Schizosaccharomyces pombe: one gene and its partner. Changing the gene in region 2 together with the main gene of any one other region gives a genetic interaction. Each region holds a gene or a part of one and is shown on either strand. Other genes may lie near its edges. The genes, in order: mag1 and urh2.

Region 1 (17,134 bases), 610 kb from region 2:
TGCTGGAGCTGTAGATATGCCATAAGGCATTACTAGATATTCAAAAACTCCACGAGGTTCAGCAGTAGCTCTATTTATAGTATTCAGATAATATTGATCTTAATAGATTATCATTAAGATCAATCTCCATATCGTATCATACATGGTACGATATATAATTAGAACATGTGACATATAGTGATACTCAACGTAGTGTATTATAGCGTAGTGTAGTATTGCTGACATTCTCCTTTTCTTACTCGTATCAAGTGATAGGCACTTTTGAGGTCAAGTTTAGTAAAAATTGTAGAACCTTGTATTTTAGCAAGTAATTGTTCAATAAGTGGTAACGGATATATATTGGGTTTGACATACTTATTTAAAGGTTTGTAGTCAACCACCATTCTCAAGGTGCCTTCCTTTTTCGGAACGAACATTACTGGACAGGCGTTAATGGCTTTAGATTCTCGTATAATTCCACTTTTTAATCCTTGATTAATTTCATCATTCATAGCTTGCATTTTTCCCGGTGGTAGCGGGTAATTTCTGATAGGTAATCTGTAGTTTTCTTGAGTTAGTTCAACTTCAAATTCTAACCCTTTTATTGGCTTTGGTAGCTTTTCCGTATTGGTTTCTGCAGTAATGTCTTTGAATTCTTTATAGATATCTGGTAACTCAGGTTCCTTGACAATGTTTGAAACTTTGTTCATTTGAGAGAGCGTGTGTTTACTGCTAGATATTTCAATGTTATTGTCATATAATGTTGTGAAGGAGATAGCAGCTGGATGCGAAAATTTCTTTACAACCAAGAATTCTGTTTTGATTGATATTCCATTTAGACTTATGTTAAGTTTTATTGTTTTGCGATTAATCTTATTTGGATAAACTCCACCATATATCACACTTTTTGACCAGGGTCTGGTAGGCAGTTTATGTGCTCGAACAGTTTCTTCTGTTATAATATTTGCTTGAGCGCCCGTATCGATTAGACAGGGTATTGAGCACTTGAAGTCTGGAAGTTCAGCTTGTAATACCATTTCGTAACGTTTCCTAGTATGATTTAGGAATTTGTTAGATGAGTATTCTATTCTCGAAACATTTGTCTTCCTCAGGTTTCTGCTATTAGTGGTGTTATTTTTCTTTGAAAGGGACTCTTTTCCTAGATTTTTATTTTGCGGTTGAAAACGCTTGTGAGTTTTACCATACGAGGCTGTTCTTTTGTCCTCTAAAAAGTCATAAATTTCACTGATTTCTGATTTCCAGTAATTTCTTTCCTTTAATTTCCTTAAGGAATATGGCAGCATCCATAATATAAACAAGCGAGTATGGAAATCATCAACATTTGCTTTTGACATGAGTTTCCTTATAAATTGAACTTTGTCCAATTGATTTCTAAAACCTTCAAATGTTTTAGTTAAACGATCACCTTTGTTGGATCCTTGTACTTTCCCTGTTTGTCTGAGTAATTCTTGCCATGTAAGACTTCCATTCTCAGAAAACATGCGTTCAGCGAATTGTTGCTCTAATTCTTCTAGGTGATTCAATGTATACTGTCTTTTAGTATGCTCATTTGGGAATAATGAAGGGTATTCAGTAAAGTGTTGATCAAGTTTTGAAATGTAACTTTCAACATCCTTATTAGGATCGAATTTCCCTATCTCTGGTACATGCTTCGATAATATTTTTGCAAAAAGGTTTATTAAATGTTCGTCTGATGTTTGAATTCCATCCAAATTCTCTGGTCTCCATCGTTTTGCTCTTGCTTTCATATAACGATAATTTGCGTAGGACATTGTATATGTTTCCCTTTGGGAGATTTCAAAAGGGATAACAGTCCTTCCAAAGTTCTTTCTCCTTTGAACCCAGAAGGAGAGAAATATATATATTTATGATATATATTTATTCAATAATTCCTTTTTCCTAAAAGGAGTTAATTGTAGATCACAAGAGTTCAGTTATTGTAAGCTACGCAGTTTGGTATCTGATTTAAGGATACGTAGAACTGCGGTGAGTTTTCCTTGTGATCTATTATATTACAATACACAGGTTGTATAAGTAGCAACTGAGTATAGGTATTGTATTAACTGGGTTATAATGTTACCTATCACTAATATAGCTCATAACTGAACTGAGGAACGAGGTTCAGCAGTAGCTCTATTTATAGTATTCAGATAATATTGATCTTAATAGATTATCATTAAGATCAATCTCCATATCGTATCATACATGGTACGATATATAATTAGAACATGTGACATATAGTGATACTCAACGTAGTGTATTATAGCGTAGTGTAGTATTGCTGACATCGTTTAATTGTTTTTGTTTTTTTCCTATAATATATATCCCCAATCTTTCATACACTTTATTACTTCGGCGTTTGTTTGCTTAACTTCTTAGTAAAATGGCAGTTTCCCGATTGCTAATTTTAATTTGCCTATACAGCTTCGTCACATTCGCATATCCTAAAGTCACTCAAGACTATCGAAATCACCTCCCCATAAAATTCGCTAAGCGATCAGAAGTTACACCAAATACTTCTTTAGCTCAATGTCCCAAATATGTAACTGTTTACTCAAGTGGGTCGTCGCATTATATTTCAACGATTTATCCCGTGAATAAGACCCATCATACTGAATACACGACGCTTACAGATGGCTCAATTGATACTTACACCATTACAGCGAAAACCGACACCGGAACAGATGTAGTTGTAGTGGAGACTTCAGCTAATACAATAACGACTACTCTTTATTCTGGTAGTCTCGAGTTTACTACTACTCTTGACTCGGCAAATGGGACTACCCCTGCAACCATTGAAGTAGTTGAACCTGCGGCAGGGACCGTTACCACTACAATTTACTCTGGAACTACACCATTTAACACAACGCTTGCTTCCGCAACTGATACTGTTCCTGGCACTGTTGAGGTAGTTGAGCCTGAAGCTGGAACTGTCACTACTACTGTATATTCTGGCACTCAAGAGTACACCACAACGCTTGCTACAGCCAGTGGTACTGTTTCAGGCACTGTTGAAGTAGTGGATACAGCAGCTGGAACTGTTACTACTACAATTTACTCTGGAACTACACCATTTAACACAACGCTTGCTTCCGCAACTGATACTGTTCCTGGCACTGTTGAGGTAGTTGAGCCTGAAGCTGGAACTGTCACTACTACTGTCTATTCTGGTACTCAAGAGTACACTACCACACTTGCTACAGCCAGTGGTACTGTTTCAGGCACTGTTGAAGTAGTGGATACAGCAGCTGGAACTGTTACTACTACAATTTACTCTGGAACTACACCATTTAACACAACGCTTGCTTCCGCAACTGATACTGTTCCTGGCACTGTTGAGGTAGTTGAGCCTGAAGCTGGAACTGTCACTACTACTGTATATTCTGGCACTCAAGAGTACACTACCACACTTGCTACAGCCAGTGGTACTGTTTCAGGCACTGTTGAAGTAGTGGATACAGCAGCTGGAACTGTTACTACTACAATTTACTCTGGAACTACACCATTTAACACAACGCTTGCTTCCGCAACTGATACTGTTCCTGGCACTGTTGAGGTAGTTGAGCCTGAAGCTGGAACTGTCACTACTACTGTCTATTCTGGTACTCAAGAGTACACTACCACACTTGCTACAGCCAGTGGTACTGTTTCAGGCACTGTTGAAGTAGTGGATACAGCAGCTGGAACTGTTACTACTACAATTTACTCTGGAACTACACCATTCAACACAACACTTGCTTCCGCAACTGATACTGTTCCTGGCACTGTTGAGGTAGTTGAGCCTGAAGCTGGAACTGTCACTACTACTGTATATTCTGGCACTCAAGAGTACACCACAACGCTTGCTACAGCTAGTGGTACTGTTTCAGGCACTGTTGAAGTAGTGGATACAGCAGCTGGAACTGTTACTACTACAATTTACTCTGGAACTACACCATTCAACACAACACTTGCTTCCGCAACTGATACTGTTCCTGGCACTGTTGAGGTAGTTGAGCCTGAAGCTGGAACTGTCACTACTACTGTCTATTCTGGTACTCAAGAGTACACCACAACGCTTGCTACAGCTAGTGGTACTGTTTCAGGCACTGTTGAAGTAGTGGATACAGCAGCTGGAACTGTTACTACTACAATTTACTCTGGAACTACACCATTTAACACAACGCTTGCTTCCGCAACTGATACTGTTCCTGGCACTGTTGAGGTAGTTGAGCCTGAAGCTGGAACTGTCACTACTACTGTATATTCTGGCACTCAAGAGTACACTACCACACTTGCTACAGCCAGTGGTACTGTTTCAGGTACCGTTGAAGTAATTGAACCTGCTGCAGGAACCGTCACTACTACTGTATATTCTGGCACTCAAGAGTACACCACAACGCTTGCTACAGCCAGTGGTACTGTTTCAGGTACCGTTGAAGTAATTGAACCTGCTGCAGGAACCGTTACTAGTACTGTCTATTCTGGTACTCAAGAGTACACCACAACGCTTGCTACAGCCAGTGGTACTGTTTCAGGCACCGTTGAAGTAATTGAACCCGCTGCAGGAACCGTTACTACTACTGTTTACTCTGGTACTCAAGAGTACACTACCACACTTGCTACAGCCAGTGGTACTGTTTCAGGCACCGTTGAAGTAATTGAACCCGCTGCAGGAACCGTTACTACTACTGTCTATTCTGGTAGCGAGGTATATACTACAACTCTCGCTTCTGCTTCCGAATCTGTCCCCGGAACTGTTGAAGTAGTAGACCCAGAAGCTGGAAGTGTCACCACTACTATCTATTCTGGTAGCGTAGAGTACACTACTGTTCTTGCTGATGCAAGTGGATCTGTTACTGGGACTGTTGAAGTTGTTGAACCGGCTGCAGGAACTGTCACCACTACTGTTTACTCTGGTAGCGAGGTATATACTACAACTCTTGCTTCTGCTTCCGAATCTGTCCCCGGAACTGTTGAAGTAGTAGACCCAGAAGCTGGAAGTGTCACCACTACTATCTATTCTGGTAGCGTAGAGTACACTACTGTTCTTGCTGATGCAAGTGGATCTGTTACTGGAACTGTTGAAGTAGTTGAACCTGCTGCTGGAACTGTTACCGGTACCCTCACTTCCGGTTCTCAGTTTTTTACTACTACTATCGCTCAAGCTAGTGGTTCCGTATCCGGCAACGTGGAGGTAATTGAGCCTTCTGGTTCAACTGTTACTTCAACTATCTATAGTGGTAGTGAATCTTTCACTACGACTCTTGCTGTTGGAAGTGGAACTATTCCAGGTACTGTGGAGGTAATTCTCCCCGCTCCTACGACTATTTATACGGGTACTGTTGCTACCACTATTACTTATAGTAGCTCTAGTACTCCAGTTTCTACCGTCGTTGTTATTCCCACTGCTGTTTGTAGTGGTGTGCGCGGCCTGCAGTACGCCGTTTATAACTATGATATTTCAGCATCGAAGAGTAAATTTTGTGTTAGTTCGGGTAATACAGACGTCGCTGCTTTCACACAGCCTGCCTATTTTGGATCTAGCTCTTTGGACCAATCGTCTCCTTTGTTCACAGGTGTATTGAGTTCTACTGCCGCTTTGCCCGAATGGACTTCTTCTTACTATCTTCCTGATTATCCCCCGGATGCGACTGCCATGGAGAGCACAAGGTGCAATTGCAAAGCTATTGTTTATCAATTCTTCTTTAGAGTTCCTTACACAGATACATATGAACTCAATGTTTATAACGTTGATGATGTATTTTACGGTTGGTTTGGCGATAAGGCTATTTCAGGATGGTCCAACACGAATTATGATGCCTACGCTTATTGGCATGTCACCACCGGTCAAACTGGAATGGGCTCATTTAGTATGGGAACCTTAACCCAAGGATCCTTCCTGCCCATAAGACTTATCGTTGCTAATGGAGGTGGAAAGGGAGGCTTTAACTTTGACTTCTCTTCTTCCACTGACACTTATGCTGCAACATCCTATGCTTACACAGCTACTTGCACTCAAAGCTTCTTACCATTTGGTCTTGGTAATGGTGGTATTGATAACTAGTCCTTTTGGTATCATGACATTGTGCAAAGTGTCAAGTTGCCAATATAAAAACTCGACATCTGGTAAATTTTTGGTTTTGTTTTAATGATCATATTCTATTATATTTATAATTTTTTTTTTGTAAAACTAGAGAGTACGGTGGATAATTCATTCATAAAGTATTTATAGACAAGATAATCTTATTACAGATGAAACCCAAATCTTTTTACATTTGACGTCTGTTTGTTCAAGTTTTTCTGTAGTTTATGAATAAATGAATTATTCATACTTATTATTGTTACACCATTAAACCATATATGCTTCCCTGCTGTAATACCAACTATACAAAATGGGAAACCAAGTATAGCAAGGAAGGTAAGTGATAGTGATATTAAATAATAGATATTGAAAAGAAATAATCTTATGAAATTTTTTAACTAGATTAGTCTTCATCATTGCAGCTCCAGGCCTAATCCACAATGATACTGATTACAATGCATAGAAGCACAGTTTATAATTTCTTCAAAATTTAATGTAACTGTATTATGAAATCAAATTTGACGAATTACAATTGGCTAGTAAAATGAGATGTCTAAAGTCAATGTCCAAGAAAACAGCGAGTCTAAATGTTGTAACTCGAAAAACTCAAGACAGTACTAATCTTAGGTACATTATTTAACGATTTTTAAAACAGTTTCTGAGAATTGTTTTAGTGACATTTTTGAATGAATGAATACAATGCAATTGTAGAAAAGGCTCTAGCTTCAATAAAAATATCTGTGCTTTGTCCAAGGGGTTTGACTTGTTCCTCTATAGATATGGTATGAAAGAATAGCACAACTTTATCAATGCTTAATGAACTTAAATTTATCAGTACAAATACACGTCGTGCCTTTCTTCTATGTCGAAGAAAAACAAGGAATCAAGAAATGAACGAATTTCGTTAACTTTGCCCTACTGTTTTGTTTTACCGTGCTAATTATTACTTCAATATTGATCTTTATAAGAGTAAATTCCTTGCTAATATTTGACACAATATTTAAACTATTCAAATCTGTACAGTTTCTAAAAGTTTTACTATTTAAAATATTCATTAACTTGCGTTTTCTATCGTCAACTGTAATGAAACGCAATTAGGGCTATCAGATCTAAAAACTGATTTTTTTGTGAAAATTTTCATCTGTATTAGCATTGAAAATAAGGGAAAAGATTTTTTTTTAAATAAAAAGGAACTCAAGGCACTAAAGAGAGTTGCTTTCTGGTTTATGGAGTTTTCTATGATAAGTCCGAAAGTAAAGTCCGCGGATATTTAGATAGATCAGGTAAATGAGGAAAACCGATATTATATGGTAAGAAAAAGCAAATTGCTACAAAATTACTACTGGTTTCATCTTAATGTGTATCTTGGAATTATAGAATTTAATTACAATTGTTCTTCTAGTTGTTATTTATTGTCTGTCGCACTAATAAATCTTATATGGTTCTTATAGGTGGTGGTAAACAGAGAACAGCCGAGTTTAATTTAAAGGAAACACATACTCAAACACAAGCTACTACTATATACCTTCTGCAACGACTCGATTATTTTTCCTGTTTTTACAATAGTCGCCTGTAATTGGTATCCGGAGATTTATATAGTACAAAAAGGGCGCTGATACTTCCAAGATCACCTTCCTTAAGTATATTCACCAGATTTCGAAATAAACGGCAAATACCGTACTAAGTCACATTCGATCGCTCACATTATCGTTAAAAATTGTAAAGCGCAGTTGTCCGTGGAAGGGCTGCTCATTTTGCCTGAATTATCTGCTTGTTTGAGCCAATACTTCACAGCCAAATTACTTTGCATTTCCGTTTAGATCAATCGAGAGAAAAATTAAATTTTAAATGTAAATTACTTTTCGTTAGGGCAAATGACTTCTGTGGAAAAGGCTAGTAAGGCATGTGAACTTTGTCGACGCAAAAAGATTCGCTGCAATCGCGAACTACCTAGCTGTCAAAATTGCATAGTGTACCAAGAAGAATGTCATTACTCAAAACGTCTGAAACGTAGTTATTCTGCCACGAAAAAAAAGAATGGGAACCCAGTTTTGGAGTCAGCAATTCCCAGTTTGAGTCCAAGTCCGTCGATCGAAAATGGATCAGCAATGCTAAATTCCGATATTACTTCTCTTAGCAATCGTATATTCAAGGTTGAGGAAAAGTTGGACCTGATTTTAAGTTTGCTAAAAAATTCATCGGAACCTTTAGATAGGACTGAACGAAAGGATTTCCCTTCTTTAGCGATGCAGATTCGAGATGCAAATTCCCTTGTGAATACGAAGTTAAAAGAGTACAGCCGTCGATTTGAGTTGCCATCTCAAAAGACCTCTTTTGACGACTTATTCTCTAGCACATTTCCAAATTTCGATGCTGCTTTCAAAGATATTCCGGATAAAGAATGGGCTTTTGAAAACGTACAGTGGTACTTCCGATATATCAATTGTTGGTGGCCAGTATTTTATGAGAAAGACTTCATGGATGAATATGAGTGTTTGTACCGAGACAGGAATCAAGTTAAAGGGGCATGGCTTGTTTCCTTTTATTCGGTTTTGGCCCTAGCAGCTTCACGAAGTAAAGCTGGTAAGGATCAAAAACTTGCTGAATCATTTTTCTCCACCTCCTGGTATTTGATCCAGAAGCCGGGTTTTTTTCTTACACCTCAGCTTGAAAAAATCCAGGCTTTACTTATCATGATTCAATTTGCTGCCCACGTTTCTTTGCACACATTGTGCAAAGCTCTTTGTGGGCAAGCTTGTCTCATGATCAGAGACTTGAATTTGCATAGGGAGAGCGCCAACGCTGATTTTAGCAACAAAGATGCAGAATTACGAAGACGCGTCTTCTGGATTTGTTATATATTTGAGATTACAACTTCATTGGTGTTTGGAACTCCATCTGTTTTAAGTGATATGGACATTGATTGCGAGCATCCAAATTATGAATACGGCCGTTACTTTTCAGAAATGCCAACTGGCGATCTAATTTTCAGCTCAGAAGTTTCTTTGACTATCCTCAAGAACGAGGTCAGAACAAAAGTATACAGCCGCACAAATACTTCAAATGCAAGGAACAGAGAAAAGGCAATTTGGCAAATTCATGAGAAGCTACTTTGTTGGGAACGTGCACTACCTATTGAATTGAGGCAGTATTTTATTGCGTTGACTGAGAACGCACAAATTTACGAAGAGCTCGATTTTGAAAAGCAAAGGCTCTTCTCGGCTTGTATTGAAGTTTATTTATCTTACTGTAATACCTTAATTTTTTTGCATCGTCTAAATGAGAGCGTAGAAGGAGCAAATATTTGTCTCGACACAGCTCGCCGTGCTATCAATGTGCTTAAATTCTTTTTTATCATTCCTATTGCGAAGAATGTTTGCTATTTATGGGTATTCTTGTACTGTCCATTTACTCCCTTTCTTGTCCTTTTTTCTAATATTGTTAATGGCAAAGAACCGAGCACCGACATTGCTTTTGAAGATCTTAATCGGATGTATTCTGTTAACAGATTCTTTGTTAAATTAAGAGACATTGGTGGAGACCTTGCTGAAAAACTTGCATCTGTTACTGAAAATTTTATACATGCTGCCGAAAATTATTTCGCTGTACAGCCAGCATTTATGGCTGATGCTTTTGATTTTGCGAGCTTTTTGACGTGAGTTAGTCAAAAGCGCTTAAACATTTTTTTGGAATATGGGGTAAATATCTTCTTCATCTTTAAGTCCTAATTGTATATTATAGTTTAACTCGGTGTTGATTGCTATATAGTAGAAATTTTTAAAAAATATTATAACTGGGTTGAATTTTAAAAGGTGAAGCAATGTTCTTTTAAAAACTTAGCTGTTTTATAGCGGACTGCTTTTGAATTCAGCTACGCTTGTTTATAATATTACCATATGACAGAGATATATATATATATATAGTTTAATCGAGGAAAATTGGTACCTAAGTCTTTCACATATTTATTCATCGATTAATCAATATCATAATAATTATTACACAAAACTAATATACAATATGCTAATTATAAGACTTGCCATCATCTTCTTTGGACACATGATCTGCCTGAAAATCCACAGTAACACCTTCAGTAACATTCTCATCAACTGTTTTAACAGGACCTTTGAAAAAAGTTTTACCTCCGTATTTTGGTAGATAATAATATCCTACGCAGAAAAAGACTGTGAACCCCAGCACTACAATGGCCCAATTCATTTCCACTTTATTCGGATTTTGGTAACTAGGGAAAAGAAGCATAAGCGCCATGAACCATAACCAAGCCACGGCTACAATTGAAATAGGCTTGCTAAATTTCCCGCAATAAAACTTTCCAGGGTTCAGCCGATTAAACAACAAACGGCATACTAAAGGTAAAGAATATGAAATAAAAAATGCGATGATAGCTAAATTAAAGATAGAGCTGATGGCTGTCACGTTAACCAACATGAGCAAGCCAACAATAATGGTATAGAGATTGACAAGAAGAATCGCATTGAGTGGAATGCCGCCAGGAGTTAGCTTACGGAATATCCAACTACCAGGAAGACCCTTGTCTCTAGCGAAAGCAAAAATTTCTCTAGAAGAAGCCAGGCATAACGCAGAGCAATTAAAACAAAGAGCTATTATCAAAACAGCTGACACGCCAACTGCACCCCTTTTGCCAAGATTATTATAAAGCACCTGAGAAACTGGTTCTCCGTAGGGAGTGTTTAGAATAGAACTAAAGTCGTGACCCATTGTGCCTGCTATAGTGATCATAATGCAAAATCCCATAAAAAGAGATACCGTAAGACTTGAAATAATTGCAATGGGTGCTGCTTTGCTAGCATTTTTGGCCTCTTCAACAATAGTAGCACACGATTCAAAGCCTGACAAAACCCAAACGGGGGTTGTGAAGCAAAGGATGAAGGACCAACCCATGTTAGTCCATCCAGAATAATTTTCGAAATTTCCAAAAATATAGCTCCCAGTGTTTCTAGTCTCGGAAGTTGATGATGCTGCTAAACTGATAATAAATATAAGAATCGTGCATATTTGAAACACCACATTAAAACTGCTGAAACGAGCAAGGAACTTTGTTGGAAGAACAATCAAAGCTGAACAGGCAAAACTTAAAGCGACATAGATACCGTACTCTTCATATTTAGTCGGAGCATACGAGGGATTGGCAACAGACGCTGTTGCTTGAACAAGACCCGCAGCAGCATAGATAGTAGAGGCAAATCCTGTAGAATATGCGAGTGCAAGTACATATCCCAGGAACCAACTTAAGAAGGCACGGTACTTTGGAGGAGAGAGATAAGCCGTCCAAAAATATAAACTGCCAGAAGTGGGCATTGATGATGCCAACTCGCTCAAAGCAAAAGCAATTGGAAGTAAACAAGTAGCACCCACAAACCAAGACCAAACCATACCTCCGGCGCCACAATTCATACTAAAGGCCATGGAGCCCACGAGAGAAGGACACAGGCCCATGGATCCAAAGGACTGACCAAACACGGCGAGTAGGGAAAATTCTCGTTTAAACTCTTGCTTATAACCAAGGTTCAATAGCATCTTATCGTCTTCTGTAACGGGGGCAGACTCACCAACCTCTATGTCCCCAACAGAGATATCGTGAAATTCTTTCTTCATCCCAATTGTTTCATCCATCTTTCCTAGACACAACTAACGATATATAAAACCAAACAATACAAAGTGCAGAACACGAAAGATTCCCCAGTTGAATACACACGAGGCAATAACTCCAATTGAATACCAATATTAAAAACAAAAATTGGTCACAGCAAAAGGTAGTGAGAAGGCAGTAAGCAGATAAATGGGATAGCGATATTGAGTCAAAATAGCAAAAAGCCAAATGATTAAACTCTTGATTAAGTATACGATTTCCTAAAAAATTTCCTGAGACAATTGAACGTAGAAGCCCGTTTTTATATTGCTAATTAAGATGATGATCATCTTTCTAATGTACTGCTTAATCTATTGATTAAGTAAGTTCTATTTAAATTCTGGATAGGATAAGAGATTTCAATAAGCTATTACCCTTTTCATTTATCTTGTCGAGGTTCATCTCTATGAAATAAGAAACAATAAGGCTTTAGATTTCCGCCAAACCTATCGATAGCTTATTTTCCTAACCACCCCCCTATGCTTGCAGTAAAATTTATCGGCCATTTTTCTCCATGGACTCCGTTATACAGTACTTCTGCAATACAGGCGCCGATATTCGCCATAAAATGAGTTATACGATTAGTAGATTTTTGATATGATGGGCTTGTATTAGCCCTAAATTTGAAAGTATATAAAGGCCAGTTTCACTGTCTTAGAACCGTAGCTACAAGAAATTATGAAAAGTGTTGAATGGTTTACATGGGGAGTTTTTCTGCTACTTTCTGGCTTTGGAGAAGCTGGGAGGATGGGCTTGGGCTTTCAGGAGAAGAATCCAGTTTTCGTAAAGGAAAAACAATCACCATTCTATGCTGTACCTAGTAACTATGAGGAAGTAGAATTCTCAAGTATAGTCGAACCTATGTATTCAGGGATTGCGACGTTTGGTCGTTTGGAGAATGTTGAATGTTTGAGTAAAAGGTCAGAGGACTTTGATATTGCCTTTATAGGAATGCCTTTCGATACAGGCACTTCTTACCGCCCTGGTGCTCGATTTGGTCCAAGCAGTTTGCGTGAAGGATCTCGACGCATAAATACTAAATACGGTGCAGTGAATGTACCTCTTGAAATCAATCCTTTCAAATCATGGGCAAAGCTTGTGGATTGTGGAGATATTCCAGTCACCACGTATGATATTCTTAAAGCTATGGATCAGTTAGAAAGTGCATATTTCCAGCTAATAGCTCGAAAGCCCTCCAGTTTTACTGACCATGATGGATTTGCAAAAAATGATACTGTGCTTCCTCGAGTCCTTTCACTCGGTGGTGACCATACCATTGTCCTTCCCATCTTACGAGCTTTGCATCGTGTTTACGGACAACCTATTTCAGTTATTCATTTCGATAGCCACTTAGACACGTGGGCTCCTGGATTGATTGGCGATGGCGATGAAGCAGATGGAATAAACCATGGTTCTTATTTCTACTTTGCTAGTCAAGAAGGTATTATGAGCAAAGATGCCAACATTCATGCTGGCATTCGTACTCCTATCTCTAGTTTCTCTGACTACGATGATGATGTTGATTGTGGTTTCAAAATCATTGAGGCTCGTGAAATTGATGATTTGGGGATTGATGGTATCGTCAAAAAGATTCGTGACAGAGTTGGTGATAATTTGGTATATTTATCCATTGATATTGATGTGCTTGATCCTGCATTTGCACCCGCTACGGGTACTCCTGAAACTGGCGGTTGGTCATCTAGAGAAATGAGAGCAATTTTACGTGGTTTGCAAGGTCTGAAATTCGTAGGCGCTGACCTTGTCGAAGTAGCTCCCGCTTACGATGTTGCAGAAATAACATCCTTGGCTGGTGCGCAATTGTTATTTGACATTGTATCTATGATGGTGAAATATCCTTTGGTAAAAGAGGCTGATTTATCTCGTTACATGCCAATACATAAATAATTGAAATAACTGGTTTATTTAATATTCAATATTTATATCGACATCATAGATACAGATACAGAAATGAGCATGTTCAAAAAAAATCATTATTCATTATATTATTAACATATCATACGCAAGTATATCGTTAGAGACAGCTGAGCGTCATCTATCTTGTATCACATAAAGTAAAAGACAAATGTAGCAGAAACGGGTTTTCTTAACCACCCAAGAGTGTTTTGTAAATATTTGCAAATGAACCCATTAAAACATCTCATCTCCCTTTTGTTATTTTTGCCATCATTCACCAAAAAATCACTTCTTTTATATAAGCGTAATGTGACGAAAATGCTTCGTCTGAGTGGACGTAGACATTCTATTCAGAAATGATTGAAAAGATACTATAAATTGGTAAACCAAAAATAAAAAGAAGCGTACATAAAATGTAAAAGACCAACCAGGAATAAACTTATCGAATTCAACTTTTTACTTTTAAATATATAATACATCTGTCCTTCAGTGTTTCTTCGGCCTAACAGGCTTTGTATAATCGGCAAGTTTTGACGTTTTCCAGAGATACCATGCTGCTGCAGTACGAAAAGGTGCACATATTTCACTATGCTTAAGAACATACATCTTGGTTGGAATTTTTGGTAATCGGTGTAGATATCGGTATCCATTACGAATACTCAAATCGTCAGCTGGCATAACATCATCACGATTCAACGAAAAGATGAGTAACATTTCTACTGTCCATCTTCCGATTCCTTTAATCTGAGTAAGTCGTTCTATCAATTCTTCATTTGAGAGCCTTTCAGCTTCTTCTTTAGTAGGAATCAAACCGCTGATTGTTGCCTCAGCAATGCTTTTTAATGAATCAATTTTACGAGCTGAAAATCCACAGGCACGCATTATTTCAAAATCCATATCACGAATTTCCTCTGGTGTTGGAAATTGGCCATTGTTAGAAATACTTTTAAAGCGATTGAAAATTGCGTTAGCAGCTTTACTATGCAATTGTTGAGATGCTACCGCACGAATTAATTCTTCATAAGGCTCTTTTTTCTCCATACTTCGATTGGGTCGATAATTACCAACGAGCTTCACGAGCCGTTTCCAATTCTCATCCAATCCAGAAAGATGGATTTCTGCTTTTGTGAGTGAAGTGACTATCTCTTCTTTCTCTTCAATGTCCAAAGTCATAATAGCAAAGATTCAATTGATCAAAAATTTATCACTCATTATGTGCTTTTGACTAAACGGTAAGGGTTTTCATTCCTTAGGAATTGCACTGCAATTCGTTATTTATGTAAGCAAGTCCTAAGCTAAAAAAAAGGAATCTTGAAGCAAATTCAACATTCTTAGATGTAATTTGAAACTTCAATTAAATTTTCATCTGGATCGCGAAAATAAATAGAGAGGATAACTCCTTCAGCTCCAGCCCTTGTAATAGGACCTTCTTCTATGAGAACATTTTGCTTTTTTAAGTGAGCAATGACTTGCTCTAAGGGTGTTTTAGCTATTAGGCAAATATCATTTGACCCAGGAGTCAGTATGTGTGATTTTGGGTCAATCTCATTACCCTTTTGATGCAAGTTGATTTTTTATGACCGAAACCGAGTGCCTTGCGATTGTTTCCAAATGCGATAACCGACATTCCTAATGTGCGCTCATAGAACTCACAGGTGGCTTCTACGTCTTGGACAGTGAAAACAATATGGTGGAAACGATCAATTTATATAATATCTTTTTCCATTAGTTAGTATCAAAGATCTTTTATAGATGTAAAATGTTGTAAAGGAGAGTCAGAGGAAACTAACCACTTCCGTTAAACAAGTAACAACTCTTCGACCTTAGAGTATATGACAGATTAAAGAAATATTGGGCGTTCAATAAGGCATAAAATGGATAAAACGATGGAATAGCTATAAAGAAAGCATAGTGTTTTAAGAATTATTCATCCACCTTACTAAGCTTACTTTCTCTAATTAGCATTGACGTTGAACATAAAGAAGCTTTGCAGTTGTCTTCATAATACAATTGAAGTAACTATACGCCTTAATTTACAATGACAGAAGTATGGAGATGAATATTGTTATATAATCTTAACACGTATAAAATGGATAAATGCGCTATGAAGGGAATGGGATAAACATTAAGTCTTAATTTGTAAAACAGTAGATTAGTAACTGGAATTGTTCTCAATATACCTTTTATAGCATTTCAAAAGTAACTTCAAAGATAAAAAATATCACAAAAGTTATCAAACTCCAACTTTGAGGAAGCTTTTGATAGCTTAAGGGTATGCTTTTGAATTTAAAACATTACTTTTGTTAAATCTCCATTGCGAGATTTTGTCGAATATTTCATCCGGATCACAATTATCTAAACTGTTCTACGTGACTTTTAGCGCTAAAGTCATATTCTATGTATTACGAATCTTTATTGATCAATGAAGCTTCTTAAAGCCGTTATAAGTTGATTTATCAACCATTTCAAAGCTTCTGGTGAAGATTTTGGCCCGACATTATGTGTAGCTCCCGGTATGATGCCGCTTAAGGAACTATTAGAAGTTGTAGGACGAATTGATTCGCGAAATCGGTTCAGTAATTGTGCTTTATCAGTTGATGGCGAGACGAACTCGTCCCTTTCCGACATAAGCAGTATCAACTGACTATGTGCTGTGGAGCCGGAGATTTCTTTGAGATTACCAAAAGTTTTAGCGAAATCATCGGCGCTCAGGTCAGAGGAGAAAAAGTCATCATTTCCGCGGACATCTGTCAAGTCAATGCATCGATTTGCAGATGTCGGAACTTCACCAAAAAAATTCTCTACCTTGCTTCTAGGTAAAACATCATTTCCTAGTCCTTTGTCAAGATATTCTGCTTTAACCCAGTCAACCAATTCCTTTGTTTTTTCTTTCCCGTTAAATTGATACGCGGCTTCTCTATCCGATACTGGAGCTTGTGCTATTCCGGCGATTAAGTAGTTTGGAAGAATGGACTGTGTAAGATAGTATAGTACATTCTGCGATCCCGTGGAATGTCCCATCAAAACGATTTTGCGAGTAGAAAAGTCCGCGCCTCCAATGTGCAAAAAATAGTCCACTGCCTTGTGTAAATCCTCGTCATCTCGTTTCAAACTTCCCGTTCCCCATCCTATATACGAGGACTGAGTTTGAACCTGTACAATACTCCAACCAATTTCATCTAATGGATTGACCAGTTCTTGAACATATGGTACTGTCAAAAGACCATCGCCAAGTCCCCCGACAAATAACAATAATGATCGAGTTACGTTGGATGTAAGTGTAACGTTACTTTTTCCAACTAGCTCGAAAGCAACAAGCCTTTCTGTGTACTCATGGAGAATACCAGGATGCGAGGCTGACATCGTGCAATAAATAAAAGAATCAAATTTTTAGATGTTGAAAGTTGAATAATTTTCGCCTAACCTTACAAAGTAGATATTCATACGATGCTCAAATACGAGATATGAGCAAGGATTATATCTTATCC
Region 2 (17,134 bases):
GCTATCGGAGGTATTCCTTCAGTACTTAAATATCTCCATGCTGAAGGTCTCATCGATGGTTCTAATATTACCGTTACTGGTAAAACTCTCGCTGAGAACCTACGAGGATTCAAGGACCTTGCCGAAGGTCAAAAGATCATTAGACCTTTGAGCAACCCCATCAAGACCGAGGGTCATTTACGTGTCCTCCGTGGTTCTTTAGCCCCTGAAGGTTCTGTCGCAAAGATTACTGGCAAAGAGGGCTTGAACTTCACCGGCAAAGCTCGTGTTTTTGATGCCGAAAACGATTTTATTGCTGCCTTAGAGCGTGGTGAGTTCAAGAAGGGCGAGAAGACTGTCGTCATTATTCGTTTTGAGGGACCAAAAGGTGGACCTGGTATGCCGGAAATGTTAAAGCCTTCAAGTGCTATTATGGGAGCTGGTCTTGGAAAGGATGTTGCACTTTTGACTGACGGTCGTTTCAGTGGTGGCTCTCACGGATTTTTGATTGGACACGTTGATCCCGAAGCACAAGTTGGAGGCCCTATTGCTCTTGTTCAGGACGGCGATGTCATTGAAATCAATGCTGTAAAGAACACTTTAGATTTGATGGTTGATGAGAAGGAGATGGCGAGACGCCGCAGTGTTTGGAAGGCACCTCCTTTGAAGTACCAACAAGGAACCCTTTTAAAATATGCTCGCAACGTTAGCACTGCCTCCAAGGGTGCTGTTACAGATTCCTTAGAGTAAAGCATATTCAATGCTTTTATAAGCGCGCATAGTATTTTGGAAACTTAGACGTTTAATGTTTTGGTAGTAAAGGTTGATTAATAAGCTTTTAATGCTGATTCCATAATCTCATCTAGAGTTTATTTGAATAATTTTGAATGAATAATTACTTTTTGGAGTACAGTGAAATGCATCGAGTTTAAAATGGGTTGTTATTCAAACTCCTGCATTTCTATTTTATTATTAAACATAATTGGTATCTGTAAATGTGAAAGGGAGCCATAACTTTCTGCTGACAATAAAGCAAGACTTTGACAGTTAGTTAGATAGAAATTTATTTACAGAAAAAATTTAAATTGATACTTTTTTATTCTATGTGCGTTGTGAAACGGTATCAATGCGTTGTTTAAACAACTGTAGTAGAAGTTTTGAATCCAAAGAATGACGAGGCTGGTTAAAGAAGCTTTCATAGACAGGGGTTACCGATTTATTATTTTGTAAAAAGCATTTAAGAAAGAATTCTTGAATAATAGGGCGTGCGAGATCGACGGACTCAGTACCATCGTAAGTTACATGAAAAAGTATACCCTTCCAAACGGACTTTTGTAAAACGTTGGCAATAGCCACTTTAAAGCTCCCTACTTCATATATTGAACCTTCAATAGTAAAGGACTGCCGAAAATTCCATAATTTCGTTCGCACAATGATGTCCTCAAGTTCAGGTTCTGCATCAATCATTGTCGCTTCATCCACACACGCCAGCATGCTGGGATTAATGTTTTGCTTCAAAAATTCTAAAGTTTTTGGAGTGACAGCATTTCTGTAAAGTTTATACTGAACTACCCATTTTTCTGAAATTCAAAGTTAGATCTTGAAATCATCAATCATAAGAAATAAAATCCAAACCAGTGTCAGCTTACTTAAATGTTGTGCAAAGTAGGTCCTAACCAGATTATCCTGTGCTGGAGAAAGGAACGTCGCCATTGAAGGCGATGAATAATAAATAACTCTATAATCAATCAGCAAAATAGTCAATCGGTATGCTTTTTACCCGTGAACAGGCATATTTTATAACAAAGATGAATGGTAATTAATTATGCATCTGAATATCGGTTTATACCGAATTATTGAGAAAAATGGCCGAATTAGTTCTTTTACTTCTACTGTAATGTTGATGTGAAGAGTTTAATGCGTACGGCGGTTGCAAGAATTGCTAACAGGCTAATTTAAAACCTTCATTTTCATTGTTCCTGTATTAAAAAAAAAAAGCAGATAGACATAATATGAGCTCAAATTTTATTAATTTATCTCTTGTCATTTTTATTATTTTCCAAGTCGCAAAGTATATGGCTTTTGGGTATGATAATCCCAGAGCAAATTGTTAAAAGCTTGAAGAGAATTAAGTTAACTGAATTACATTCATAATTAACTTCTGGAGAGTCAAATACTACGTAACAATGTAACTGGCTGGTTTGAGCACTAATTAAAAATCTGTTAATCCCAGGATGTTACATATGTGTCTCTTCGTTTTACTTTGAACTTTACACAAGAAACTACATAGTTCTGTCAGCAAAATAAGTCTTAAAAGTTATTGTTCGAATAGAAGTATAAACTCATACATCAATATACATACTGAAAATAGATAGAAGCAAAAAAAAAATTACTTTTAATCTTTATTCAACTAATTACTAGGCTGTATCTAACATATTTTCTTCTGAATCACCATAGGCAGAAATGTAAAATATGTAACCAATTTCTGTCTACAAGTTATTCAGAACTTTACATCTAAGACCAAAGGTAGAGATGATTATTTACAAATAAAAAAAAATAAACATCCACAAAAGAGGTCTATGGAGTACTGAAGAAGTTAGTAATGCTGTTACCAGACTTATATAGCTCCGCTCAAAAATTATAAGTTAAAGTTATAAGATTAAAAAAATATAAATATATTTTTTTGAATTTTCTTAACTTATTGGTTAAATTAATATACTCTATGAATTATAATAACTTCAGTTACAGACTTGCGTTCGACCGTTGTATGATGCCTCTTTAGAGCTACACACAGCTGAAACTTAACCTGTTCCATCGTTTTCTTTACCTTACCAGTTATAGAGTTATAAAATGACGTTTCGGACTTTGGATGTCGACTCCATCACAGAACCTGTTTTAACAGAGCAAGATATATTTCCAATTCGTAACGAAACGGCGGAGCAAGTCCAAGCAGCCGTCTCTCAACTCATTCCTCAAGCCCGGTCTGCCATTCAAACGTATGTTTATTTAAAAGAAGCAATTTTTTTATTAATTAAAATAGAGGAAATGCCTTACAAGGTTTGAAAACCTTACTCTCATATGTTCCTTATGGAAATGATGTTCAAGAAGTTAGGGTATGTGCAAACTGTACAAACTGCTTAAAGACGGTTTATATCAATTACGTTTTTATTTATTGATTAAATTTACAATTCTTCTTGATTTCATTTTATTATGGTGTAAATGAATTTTAACTTTTTTAGACTCAATATTTGAATGCTTTTGTTGATGTATTAAGCAATATACGAGCTGCTGACATTCCCGCATTTGTAAAAGAATGTTCAACGGAGGAAATTGATAATATTGTAAACTTCATTTATCGTGGATTGGCGAATCCTCAAGCCTACAACTCGTCTGTATTACTTAATTGGCACGAAAAGGTAACTTTTAGTTTATTGCTTTTCCCAACGCTCTAGCATTGCTTATCTCATGCTTTACATTTTTATTCGGTCACTAATACGGTTTTGTAGGTGGTGGAAATATCCGGTATAGGATGTATAGTTCGTGTTCTCAATAGTAGACCCGATCTATAAATATGGCTTTATCTTACTTTTTGGTATCTACTATTCTGTCGCTTATGGAACTGAATCAATGATTCTGTTTTATGTCTTCTTTCCCACATAATGACTCTTTTTATCCTTTAAATTGAGCTAGAATTTTCTAAATGGTTAGTAAGTATGTTCCATTTTAAAAAATAAAGTGCAATCGATTTACGCCTTTGCTGAAAAGATAATAAATCTAGTTTATTCAATATTAGCTTACTCTTTGAATACTTCGAACATGTTCTGGCTGTACTCTTCTTTCCCCAGTCTTAGCCGCTTCAATATTGGCTTCTTTTAGTAAGGATTGTAAGAAAAGACAGTAATCCAAATATACCTTGAAAATTCTGTTAGTTGAAAACATTCAATATAAAAAATTTGAATATCTTTATTAGAATAGCGCGTCCAAAAAGATACTGACTGAGAAATAGCTAGTTTCATTTATAACTTTCCATACCAAATCCAATGCGGAACTTTCAAGGCTGCGCTGGCAATGCTGACGAAAAAATCGTCTTATGCGTGCTTTAGGATAGCTCATAGTAAGTAGTTTCTTGCAAAAAAAAATATTAATCCCGTTTAGTTTTGTAAAATTAGAGAGTAATCATATCTTGCAAGGATAGCTCTGTATAGAAAGTGATAATCGTTGTGTCGTCTTCGAAGAAGGTAAAGTGCGAGTCCTTTTGAGTCATTAGTTCGAAGGATTCTACAAAGGTGCTATTGCAAATCAATTTTTTATAAATTTAATGTCATATTATTAATTGAAATTTTCTTAGTAAAAGTAATTATTACGTACAAAGATTAAAGCACTGACATTGCAAATTATGTGTCTTTGTTGTCAAAACAAGTTGGAATATTATATCAATTAGCAGCAATCTTAAGCATGAAAGCTTTTAAATACTTTGAGTTCATTTGTAAGCATGTATTTACTCGCTACTACTTTAAGAAAAGAAAAACTTTTTACTAGTATTTAAAAATTTGGTTGCTGGTTTGTTTTGCTTGCTCTGATTACACACGTATATCTGAATCTGTTATTTTATTCTTATTTAAACTGTGATTGTATGCATATTATGAACCTCTAAATTGCCTTCATTTGGAATATTGAGCAAAATACTTGGCAAGTATGGCGACTAAAAGAAAACCAAATTAATATTTACCGAGTTTCTTTGCTATATTTCCTGGAAGTTAGTCGCTTGTGATTCCGAATTATTGCTTTCCGCGACCTACATAAAATTCTGCTTTTAAACGAGTCCTTCACCACTACCTTGTTATAAAGAATACTAAGATCCGCTGTTAGGCACTAGAAGATTTTTACTTTAACTTCTCAAATTCGACAAATTAGAAAAAAAATTTTTTTAAAAACTTGACAGACAGTCTCAATAGAGGTAGTAATATACGTTTTCGTTACTACCTTACTTACCAGCTCCTTCAAGCGATTCATTTCCGAAACAATCATTTACACGCCAACTTACTATTGACTTTAATATCGAATTATCTTGTTAATTCTGCTTCTTATAATGGGTGATCCAACAAATAATAATGATAGTGAAACTAAACCAAATCCTGCTACGTACTGGAAAAGCAGATTTCCTGTTGCTCGTATAAAAAAGATTATGCAAGCAGACCAGGACGTTGGAAAGGTCGCTCAAGTTACTCCGGTTATTATGTCGAAAGCGTTGGAATTGTTCATGCAGAGTATAATTCAAGAATCGTGCAAACAGACGCGATTGCACCAAGCAAAGCGTGTTACCGTTTCTCATTTAAAGCATGCTGTTCAAAGTGTTGAACAGTTTGATTTTCTTCAAGACATTGTTGAAAAAGTACCGGATGCTCCGCCCATTAAAGCCGAAAGAAAGACAAAACGCCCCCGTGCTCGTCGAGCAGCTAATGAAGGTGAGCATAATGAAAGTGTTCCCGCTAAAAAAGTTAAAAAGAATACTGTTAAAGAAGAGGAAATTGAAAAAGATGACGAATCAGCTACCACAGAAACTCCTGTCAAAGAAGAACCTACTGGTGAGGAAACTGAAGCAGATCACGAGGAGAAAGCCTCTGTTGATCATGGTAATTTTTCTGACAAGACAACTAGTGAAGCCTCTTCCGCGTCTGGTGATGAGTAGCTACTTTCTCCACCCTATATGACCATAAATATAATGTCTTTGTATACTTTATTCTTGTTTTGCTATTACATTTATTCTTATCTTCCCTTTTTTCTTGAATTTGTTTTCAGAAAATATTCTCAAGCTACTTGTACATAGGACTATAAAATTGGCACATTAATTCTAGTATTTTTAAGCCTTTTCTTCGACTTAAGAATATAATACGTTCTGGTTGTTCATATTGAGCTTTTTTAAAGTGCCTTATTAATGTACTATGAAAGACCAACTTGGCGTCTACTGATTTTATTTGCCAAAATGATGCTATTGACAATTCTACGAACCTATCACTTACTCGTACACCCTTTTGTTTATAATTAAGCATTTATTTATACATACTTTGTTGTTAGTATTTAAATTCAAATAATGATATTTTTATAGTCTAAGATTTTATAAAACTATATGCAATGCAAAAGTATAAACGTACTTCTTTGAGTAAAAAAGAAAGTATTTGGTTTTGTATTTCCAATGGATGATATAAGAGGGCATGATGAATGCTTGAAGTGCTTTCAAAATTGAAAATGAAGGGAGAACTTGATCGTTGTAAAAAATAAACATAAAACACTAGTCGATAATGTCATAAATATACTACAAATAATTGAGCCTGTCTATAACTCCAATAAACGTCTCCCAAAATAATGAAACATCAGCTTCCAAAACAACATGAACATTAGCCGGATACTGATTTTGTTGCGACCATACATCACAGACAGTGCGACCAAGAGTGAGAGAATCTAAGCTTACAGTCACATACATAGAACGCGAGGTCCACAGAGATGGCCACAGCGCCAAAGCAACAGCACAAACGTCATGAACGGGAACACCGTTTCGAATTCCGTAGACATTTTCATAAGTTTGTTGAAAGACAGTCATCAATTCTACCAGTGTGGAACTAAATGGGTTGCTATGTTGACGCAGTAACTGAATAATGTTTGCATCTAAAAGTACTTTATGAGTGACATCTAGCGGCACCATAAATAGTTTGCCGATAAGTGATTTAGTCTCTAAAACGAGCCTAGCTGCCTCAGGATCAGCATACACGTTGAATTCTGCTTGAGAAGTAATATTTCCAATGCCTGTGCTACCACCCATAAATATAAACCTTTCTATGTTGTCGGTAACGCTTGGGTACGTTGCCAATAACAATGCAATGTTTGTCAAAGGACCGGTAGCTACGAGAGTGACAGGCTCTGGATAATTAGAAATAGTGGTATACATAGCGAACACCGCATCAGGAGTAGCCTTCTTTTTGGGATAATCAGGAAGCAATGAAATCCCTGCAAGCCCATTCGTACCATGTATGTGAGTAGCGAACGCGGACTCGCGCATCAAGGGCTTCGCTGCGCCAGCATGAACATCAACATCTTGATTTAAAAGCTCCATTACCGCTAAAGCATTTTTGGTAGTAAATTCTAGCGTTGTATTACCATGTACGGTACTAACACCCAAAATTTTACAATGTCCAGCGCAAGCAGCCAATGTTAAGGCGACAACATCGTCATGTCCAGGATCGCAATCGATCCATATGTTATAGTTTTCTAATGCGGAGCCTTTTTGGAATGAATCAATTGTGTTAGTCATGGTGCCACAATAATCACTAAGCTTAAAAAAAAATCGATTAGTACTAGCTATGAGGTTTTTTATGACTTTATTACTTTGGACATCCGAAGATAATATTCTTGCTGGACGAGGACACAATAAAATATATGGCTAATAACCTTGCAAAGAGATATGTGGTGTTGTGGTTTAAAAATGGTAATAAATATTGCACAGATGGATAGCCTAGTAGCCCCTAATGCGGAAATTGTCTATTCAACCGACCTTGTAAGTAGACAATTAATGTATCAAAAATGCCGACGCTTGAAATCTATCTTCATCAATTTTCGTTTAATTTTCCGCTGTTCTGGATACATTTGAGTAACGCACTGCAAGAGAGTGGCTCACAAAACGTAGAAAAACGTTATTTTGACTTATGATTTGAAATTTATTTGCTACGGTTAGTGTTTGCAATGACTTTCCGTTTAATTCCTGAAACCATTTATCAACAGCTAGCATGATTAAAAACTAACCGAATTTTTTGTTTGCTAATGAATAATAATGTTGGTTACATCCATATGTAAAATGTTATCGGAATTCTTAACAGCTGGAATTTTTACTTTTGAAAATGCTATTGCTAAAACGAAGTAAAGATTTGTAACTTCAGCTAATTTGTTAACTTATTAAAGCTTGCACAGAAGGTAGAAGACAAAACATTATATCAATGAAAAAACAACCCGTTTATTATTGATAAGTAGAAATAAATACGTGCTCGCTTTAATTAGTAGATCAAGATTTATCAGGTATTTTTGAATTTGTAAATAGATTTTACTGAGACATAATAGAATCTACCGTAACTAATGTTGCTTCCATATACCAAGCTTAACTGTGAGCAGAAATAAATTAGTTTTTGTCTTTCGCTCTACTCTTTTCAAATCAGTGTAGTTGCTTCTTCCGGCCAACTGCTGAGAAAAGCTTATGTTTTTCTTCCTTTATTGATTTCTTCCAAAAATACATAGTTGCTTATTTTTCTGTAGAGCATTCAGTCAAAGGAAGTTCGTTGAATTCAAGGCTTTTGCTTTATTATTTTTTCTTAAAAAATTATGGTTTTGAATTTTAATAATTCAGAAGATTTGGTTCAAGAATTATGTAGACTCGTGATCAAAGAGTTTGCATATTCGGAGAAAAAAAATCAACTGTTAGATCAGTTACATTCAAAGCTCCCAAATCTAATTATGATTTAACTTCTTGGAGGATCTGGGAACAGGCATTTCGTTTAAATGTGTCCAATAGCAAAAAATGTTTTGATACTATATCTGGACATAGAATTACTTTACCTACAAACGCGCGTGGTTTGTTTACTGGCTATGACTATGAAAGTAAAAGACATCGCATTGTTATACGTGGGTACGATAAATTTTTTAATATTGATGAAGTCCCTATTACTACTTGGGATGCACTTTCTCAACACACTAAAGGACCTTATGAATTGACAGTCAAAGAAAATGGTTGTATCATATTTATTGCAGCTTTGCCAGACGGACAGATCATTGTTTCTAGCAAGCATTCTTTAGGTATTGTGGAAGGACAATCAGTCTCTCATGCAAACGTTGGGGAACGTTGGCTTGAAAAACATTTGCAAAGTGTTGGTCGCACTAAACAAGAGCTGGCCCATGAACTACTTCGTAGAGACATGACTGCTGTGGCTGAACTCTGTGATGATGAGTTTGAAGAGCACATTCTTCCATACACTGGAAATTCTCGTGGACTATATCTGCATGGATTAAATCGGAATTGCCCGCAGTTTATTACTGCATCATCCTGTGAAGTTGCTGAATTTGCGGAACAATGGGGATTTATGAAAGTTTCTTCATTTTTTATGGATAGCATTCATGAGCTCAAAGCCTTTTTAGAAAATGCCTCTAAAGATGGCAAATGGAATAACAGGGCAATCGAAGGGTTTGTTATTCGTTGTCATTCTGATCATTCATCTCTTGAGCAACAATCTTCTAATGATTTCTTTTTCAAATATAAATTTCCAGAACCGTATGGCATGTTTCGTCAATGGCGTGAAGTCACCAAAATGTTAATATCTGGTAAAAAGCCAAGTTACACAAAATATAAAAAAGTAACGGCTGAATATATTACTTTCTGTGACAAAAAGTTTAAGGAAGACGAGGATGCTAAACGATTATATATGAGCAATAAAGGTATAATTTCTTTACGAGATGAGTTTTTGGTGCTTTCAAAATTAGATCTGATGCATCTTTCCGTTTCGAATGACAATGATTGTGGGAAAGAATTCACCTTACTTGTACCTATCGCCACTATTGGTTGTGGTAAAACTACGGTTGCTAAAATTTTAGAAAAGCTTTTTGGCTGGCCTGTAGTGCAAAACGATAATCTTCCTTCAGGAAAAGGTGGACCAAAAAGATTTGCTAAAGCAATTATTGAGGAATTTAGAAACGGACATTCTGTTGTTTTTGCCGATCGTAACAATCACATTTCCAACATGAGAAGTACTCTTCAAACCGACATCTTGGCTTTAATTGATGGCGTCAGATTCGTTGCTCTTCCTTTCAAGCATACACCGGAAGTTCCGGAATTTGTTCAAAATCGTGTACTTCAACGTGGTGATCGGCACCAATCAATAAAGGTTTCAGAGGGTGTCGATAAGGTGAAAGCAATTATGAATACTTTTTATAAGCAGTATAAGCCATTCGATCCTGCAGGAAATAAACATGATGCTAATTATGATGATATTATAGAACTGGATCCTTTGATAGGATCCTTGGAAAACGCACGTCGAATTGTAAATTATTTCAAAAAAAACATACCAGAATTGATCCCAAATGATCCCAGTGATGACGACTATGCAGCTGCACTTAATTACGCCGTTAATGAGTACGTCCCGACTTATAGAAAAACTTTTGGTAATGACTCAAAAAAGATAAAGAATAAAATCACAGCCGAAGGGATTACCGGCTCATCTACTTGTTTTAAAAAAGCGCCAAGATACTTTGGCGTATTGCTTGACAGGAAGACAGTGGAGTCTTCTCTCGTTCAAGTCTTAACGATAGCTAATTTGCAATGGCAGGAGGCTTTTTCCAGATACACCTTACAAGATTCCTTTCATATTACTATGATCCACGAGTCACAGAAGCCGGTAAATAGTCGGATTTGGGAACAATACTTACAGCATATGCACGATAAAAATACTACTAAAATGGGGAATATTTCGTTTAGGATAACTCATCTTGTATGGGATGATAGAGTTATTTGTTTTCGAGTCACTATGAATGAAAACAGCGTCTGGTATGGTAAAACTTGCAACCCTCAACTTCATATAACTTTGGGGACTTCTTCTTCTGACGTTAAAGCTTTTGAATCTAACTTTTTGCTTAAAAAATTGAGATGGCAAGGCGATGAAGTTGATTCGACTGATGGAAACGTAAGATATCTGACTGTTTTACCTAAAATAATAATAGAAGGAATGCTGGAACCCGTTTACTAGTACTTACAATACGGTTTTTTTCCTTATTTTTCTGAATTATATTCAGGATGTGTACACTAGACTTTATTTTTTGGAATATGTATGTAAATATAATTACTTGGGAATATAGAATAAGATAACATAAATTCATATTTTTTAAACTGGTCGTGTTTCCAAAACGTCTATATTTTTATTGGCAGAAAACACATTAGATGACAAAACAATTCAACTCAATCTCCATGTCCAACGAATTCGCTCAGTACGGGAATCATAGAAACTCAGCAAAGAACTATCACCAGAGTGTAATTGACTTGAGTTGTCAACGTCACGGAAAGAGTTGAAGCTTTCAACCCCTATAAAATTCCAAGAAATATTCCTTTACTGTTAGCATCTAAAAACGTATAAGTAGTTATTACCTTATTAACTCGTAAAGTTCTAAACAAGTAGAAGAAGAAAACAACCCTTTGATGGAAAGATAAAGAACGTCAGTAACAGCACAAGATGGTTTGTAACGTGAAATGTAAGGATCAGGAACAAATGAATTTTGCACACATTTTGCATTACAACGTAAAAAAGAAAGAATTTCCAAAACCTCTAATGGACCGTTTGATGGAAAGAGTTCATTTCTATTAAGAGTTGATACAAGTGGCGGTGGGATTTTTGCTTGGTCTAGTTTTCCTTTTTTTAGGTTGATTTCTCGCGAAATCATGGGAACAGGAAGCGAGTGAGACAAGTTGTTTTGGTAAGACTGATCAACCTTCTCAGTTGGAAAAGTAAGATAAAAACTCCACTTTCCAGGAAGACGACCCAAAGCAGCTTTTAATCTTTCAAAGCCTTTCCACTGAGGCCTTAAGAATGCAGACTTTAAGTCAATATTTGCTACCCATAGAGTGTCCTTAGGTTCAGAACTAGAAGGTTTTGCATCAATACCACTAACCAAATAGCTATCTTTGTCAAGAGTGACAGATAGAATACCTTATTAACTGTAAGCAATAAAAATTTCAAAATCTTAAAGATACCCGAAATTGTTTGGCTGGGTAATAATATCCTATAGAGATATGAAAAGCGAACAGTACCGTAAAATAACTCACCTTGACTTATACATATTTTATTATCATTATCGGATGAAGAAACAATGGTTGCAATTCCTATATTGAAAAAATTAGCTACAAAAAAGTGTTCCTAGAAAGTTTCTTACCAGTATGAATAAACGTTGAATATAAATCGGGATGTAACAGCAGAGCGGGTGAGCCAGAGAATTCATAAAAACTAAGATCTTGCACTATTTTCGTTATTGATCTAATTGCTTCTTCAGAGGCGTCTTCTACTGGCAACAAAATATCTAACTAAGTTTTATTATTAGGATTAAGATATAAGCGGATCTACATACCTTTCCATTATATGCATTCTGTAAAATTTCGTGCTCAGTATAATTTTTTTGATATATCTCGTCCTTTAATTCTTTAGTAAAAGCACAGTTCATTTTAATCGTATCTTTTTATTCATAAACTTTTCAGAAAGAAACGCAAAACTATTCTTTCCATATAAAAAAAGACACAGCGCTTCTGACAAGTGTTCATGAATTAGCAGGGAGACTTTGATGATACACCCATCAGCTCATTGTTACTTCATCTTAGCTGTATTAGAAAATATCAGATCAACAAGCACAATATCAAATTCAATATAGATCGTCAATTATATTTAGGCAATTTTCAATTTTTTCAAGTGTAAATAAATTTATTCGTATATAATTTATGACTCTTATAAGTATATTGAAGTAATGAACTGAAGAAAATAATTAAATGTTTTCATTCGTTCTTTGTATTTCACTCAGTATCATTGAAAAAGTTATGCAGACGGTAATTCATAAATTAGTTCAAATCGATGAAAATAATACCGACATCTTCAGATTGGCTTGTAGCGAGATTATTTAATAAAAAACATATTTTTTTACAAACCATTTTCCTTTTAAAAATGCTTATCTATCTATTCCTTTTTATTTATTTTTTTTATTTTAAAAATAATATTTCGAAAAAGAGAATGAAAACAATAAATATATCCATGTAAAAAAAATACCAGGTTAATTATTTAAGTAATAATTTTAATTATTGAGTATAAAACATCACTCAGACAACGAAGAGAACATAAGTTAACAATGGTTCTTTTGTTGTAATTTTCATTTCAATAATTGAAGCTACAAAACCACCTTTTCTATATTTTCGTCAAACGCCATGCATTTTTTTTAAGGTCATTAATACGAAATTAAGAGAATTGTATAATTTAAAGCAGTCGCTTATGAGTTTTAAAACCTCACCTTATTTGAACATTAATTTCTCGTAATATATGGAACTAAATTTCAAGGTTTTGCTCTTTGCAAGCTTCTAAAAATTCATTGCAAACAATACGATCAGGGCAAACCTCCAAAGCAGTATGGTTTTCAGAATCCTTACGTAAAGTATCAGCTCCAGCACGCACCAATTCGACACCAACATCTGGATGTCCTTCTGCTAATGCGAAATGCAATGGTGTGAAGCCATATGAATCCGAAGTATTCAAGGGTGCGCGTTGAGAAATTAAGTATTTGACTACTTGAATCTTTCCAACAGCTGCGGCTCTATGCAATGGTGTTTGGCCTTGAAGATCCTTTTTCCTAATAAGTTCTGGGGCCTTATCACATAATAATTGAACAATAGAAAGACGACCTTTTCCAGCGGCATAATGCAAACATGTTTGACCACCGCGAGTCGTTATGGTTGGATCAACGTCGGAACGGTTTATTAGTTCTTCTATTACATTATCAGGTACTGAGCGATTATTTATAGAGATCATTAAAGGCGTCCATCCTGCCTCATCTTTTTCGTCCGGCTTGATATTGGGTTGCTTTAACAAGAAATAAATGGTATTAACTTTACCAACAGAGCAGGCCCAATGGAGAGGTGTACGTTTGTCCTAACAATATTTGTGATTAGTAAAAACAACATGAGTCATTTAGTAGCTTAGTTACACTTGTTATTCTTGTCAATGCATATTCATTTTCTTTTTCGAATTCACAATAGAATAACAATATTAATTATTAGTTTCACATACATCATCTACCGCATTAAGAGAATTCGGATCATTTTGAATTGCCTGCTCCACATATTCTTCTGGACAGTTTTCTTCGATTGCTTTACCTAAACTTGCATAAACCATTTTATGTAACGACTAGATATGATTTTGTTGTAGTTTTATATGCTTGTTCTGTGTTACTTCAGTGGAAAGACTGTCGCCATTTAATGACACAGAGAATTACGAAATACTTCATTATATCCATTTTTAACATAGCATCCTTTGTCTGCAGATTGCCAACATCAATGTATCATTACAAAAACTAATTATTGTTACTGTACGGATTGTTTATATTTCAATTCCTTAATAATTGTTATTTTAATACATATTATCTTGCTATACTATTTATCTTGGTCCGCTTGATAGAATTTGTAAGTACTGTTGGTCTCTTGCTTGTATATGTGCTCATTCCTTAAATCCTTTGTTTGTGAGGTTTTGCCTGTGTTTTGCAGTCATCAAAAGCTGTATATTTAAGCCATCTTCCAAACCGCCCAATTGAAATAAATTAGAATGTCTTAACGTACTAATTATTTCATAACTTTGAAGAACTATATTCTACTGGCCTCAGGAGTTTTACCAAAATCTGTTGTATGCAATATTTTCCTTAAACGATTTACAATTAGAATAATGTGGCCTGTAATAGAAATCAATCAATCGGTGTTTGTGTCCCACAATCTCTATTTGTAAACGATGGACGTGCTCTCCTCAAGAATATCAGTTTTTCTCCAGTCCAAAGGATTTGCATCACTCCAAATTTCCGAGTTTAATGAATCTTCAAACCAACCGTTCTTTATCAAATACTTCGATTTATTTTCTGGTTTTCTGGTTTTTGAGGTTCCCATTAAAGCCCGGCTAGTCTCTTCTATAGCGTAACTGTTAGTATTCGAGAAACCTGAGTAACTTTCGTCTTTTTTTTCATTGTTAAATAACTGGGGCGATTTCGTTTTACTGCTGAGAATTAGAGAATGATTTCCCTCATTATCATTGTGACCTGAAGATGAATTGTTAACATGAAAACCAACTTTTGGTTGACGTGAATTACTCTGTACAACACCTCCATATGCCTTATCTTGGGAACCCCTGTCCTTGAGGGCTCTCTTAATTGCTTTCTTCCTAAGCTTTTCTCCACCTTTTTTTAAATTATAATCGTTGAGAGCATTAAAAGAGAAGGAATTTGCCAGCCGCTCATAACTTACAGTCCTTTTATTTTTCGGAGAATTTTGATTTCTTTCCAAATTCGATGTCTTTAAATTCTTTATATTGATAGTTTCTCTTGCACATTTTGTTATAGGTCCATCATTCATCTTGTTTGTAGCGGTCAATTCATTGATTTCATGGTTTTCCATTGTGCAAGAATTGAGTGCATCGAGATTAGTTGGAAATTTAACTGATGTTTTGTGTTTGCGAAGGATATCGTTGTTTTCTTTTTGTGAAGACTTATTCATTACATCTTCTGTTTGCGTTTCCGCAGTGCCAAGTTTACTGATTTTTATTTTCTGCATCTGGTTGCCTTTTTTCGCTTTCGGTTTTATTCTCTCATAGTTGGGGGGTTCAGCTTTTCCCTTACAGCATGTATTAATGATTTTTTCTTTCACTGGACTATCCAATCGCTCATACTGCTCAGGAATATAATTTTGTTCGCCGTTTCCATTATCCTCTTCTGATTTTTTTTCACTTTCTCCCGAATCCAAAGATAAACTACTCTCATTTCGTTCACTTTCAATAGAATGTAAATTTGAATTTGCAAAATGAAGTCTTTGTTTTTCTAAATCAAAAGATGCATCCCCAAATTCCATGGGACTTGCGTTTTTTTTTGCAGATATCTCAGAATGATATAAAATATCGTTTTCTTCATTGATTGTATAGTCTTGGGCTGATTCTCGTACAAGTTTTAGCAATGAATTAATTTTTTTCTCCTTTGATATTGATATCTCCTTGTAACAATTGAAAATTTCGAGCTCTGTTTTTGCTTCATTCGAACTTTTAATGTGTTTGACATATATGTTTTCCTGCTTAGATAGTTGTGGTTTTAAATTGGATAAGTATTCAGTAATTGCTTTGGTCAGTTTTAGTAAAAGTTTTTGTTGACTCTCGTATTTCTCCAAAAAAACATCCACATATTCGTAAGTGTTATCTTCCATTTTTAAAAGGATTTTTTCAATTTGAGTGATTTCATCTTTAAAAATTCCTTTCCTCAGAATGTCGAACATATTTCTCGTATTCATTCGTTCTAGCAGGTCTCAGATATTTATTTATTTGAAGAAACTTTAAACAAATGTTTAAATGTTTCTTTATTAAGATTGATAGAAAATAAGAATTGAAATTATGTAGTGTTTATTTGTACGTTTATGTTAGTATTTATTTGGTGTATCAAATCTATTTTATTTACAATTTATAAACAACAGCACAAGTCAAAACAACAACTTTCAATAGAAAGCTTTACGTTTATAAAATGAAACATATTAGTTGTTCATGCATAATAAAAATACGTTTTATAGTCCAAATACAATTGTTTTTACAAAGCTTAAAAATAGCTTACCATTCTTGTCATCAGATACTAATTGATAGTTCTAAATTTAAAATTTTGTTTGATTGCTAAATACCGATGACCATGAAAAGTTATTTTCTTTAGAATCCTTGCTTTGTTATTATTTTTTTTATAATTACTCAAAAACTATTAACTTTATAACTGCGCAAATTAGTTGTTGTTACTGATATCCTCTTAGCTTATCGTTACCGCCTTAAACCGAACCGAACATTTGGGAAACTTACAGGTTGGTTAATACCAAAGTATTTGAATTAGTATCTTTAAATTTTTAAATTTTTATATATTTAAAGTGTGGTTCCAAATTTTGCAAAGCGCACTGCTTTCCATTAGCCAGTGTCGCAGTTCACTATGGACTCAAGACTAAATCGAATTCAGTCCAAGATGAAACTGTGGATAAAAGATAAAAATCTGAGCAATCCTTCTATACCACTTAAAGTGCTCAATAAATCGTTTAGGTCTAGTCGCCAGTCTTCAGTTTCAAATGGCCATGGATTGTATTCATTAGATAGAGACGAAACTGAATCTCTTATGTCCAGTCATGAAGCCAGCAATGCAGGTATATCGTTGGATTCTTCATTTAGGGTAATTCAGGTAGGGCAACCTGAACCGCAATACGGCAATAATGCTGTTACTAATACTAAGTATGATCTGTTTACTTTTTTACCAAAATGCCTCTATGAGCAATTCCGATATTTCTACAATATGTATTTTTTGCTAGTATCCCTTTCCCAATTAATACCACCAT

The links.
Region 1: mutations in urh2 (region 2) and mag1 together harm fitness more than expected from each alone (negative genetic interaction), as found in Schizosaccharomyces pombe (one large-scale study listed by BioGRID).

What each region holds. Positions count from the first base shown.
Region 1 is NC_003424.3:2,940,006-2,957,139, forward strand, and holds mag1 (DNA-3-methyladenine glycosylase Mag1), read right to left. Parts: upstream 14,860-17,134; 5' UTR 14,820-14,859; coding exon 14,133-14,819; 3' UTR 13,723-14,132; downstream 1-13,722. Other genes in the region: SPOM_SPAPB2C8.01 (glycoprotein), read left to right, coding at 2,384-6,046; toe3 (transcription factor), read left to right, coding at 7,939-9,723; SPOM_SPAPB24D3.02C (amino-acid permease), read right to left, coding at 10,085-11,716; SPOM_SPAPB24D3.03 (agmatinase), read left to right, coding at 12,411-13,637; SPOM_SPAPB24D3.06C (uncharacterized protein), read right to left, coding at 16,059-17,009. UniProt on the Schizosaccharomyces pombe protein: Hydrolysis of the deoxyribose N-glycosidic bond to excise 3-methyladenine or 7-methyladenine from the damaged DNA polymer formed by alkylation lesions. Can release ethylated and propylated bases from DNA in addition to 3-methyladenine.
Region 2 is NC_003424.3:2,334,966-2,352,099, reverse strand, and holds urh2 (uridine ribohydrolase), read right to left. Parts: upstream 7,580-17,134; 5' UTR 7,286-7,579; coding exon 6,293-7,285; 3' UTR 6,056-6,292; downstream 1-6,055. Other genes in the region: ilv3 (dihydroxy-acid dehydratase), read left to right, coding at 1-729; mediator complex subunit Med20, read right to left, coding at 1,081-1,559, 1,629-1,717, 1,760-1,773; ARP2/3 actin-organizing complex subunit Arc5, read left to right, coding at 2,830-2,975, 3,020-3,092, 3,219-3,395, 3,486-3,548; CENP-W family protein Wip1, read right to left, coding at 3,649-3,675, 3,778-3,891, 4,012-4,092; negative cofactor 2 complex subunit Bur6, read left to right, coding at 5,069-5,668; rpp40 (Rnase P subunit), read right to left, coding at 10,959-11,109, 11,150-11,708, 11,825-11,881, 11,932-12,079, 12,124-12,216; nas6 (gankyrin), read right to left, coding at 13,083-13,682, 13,821-13,925; protein mug68, read right to left, coding at 14,519-16,066; flippase Neo1, read left to right, coding at 16,738-17,134.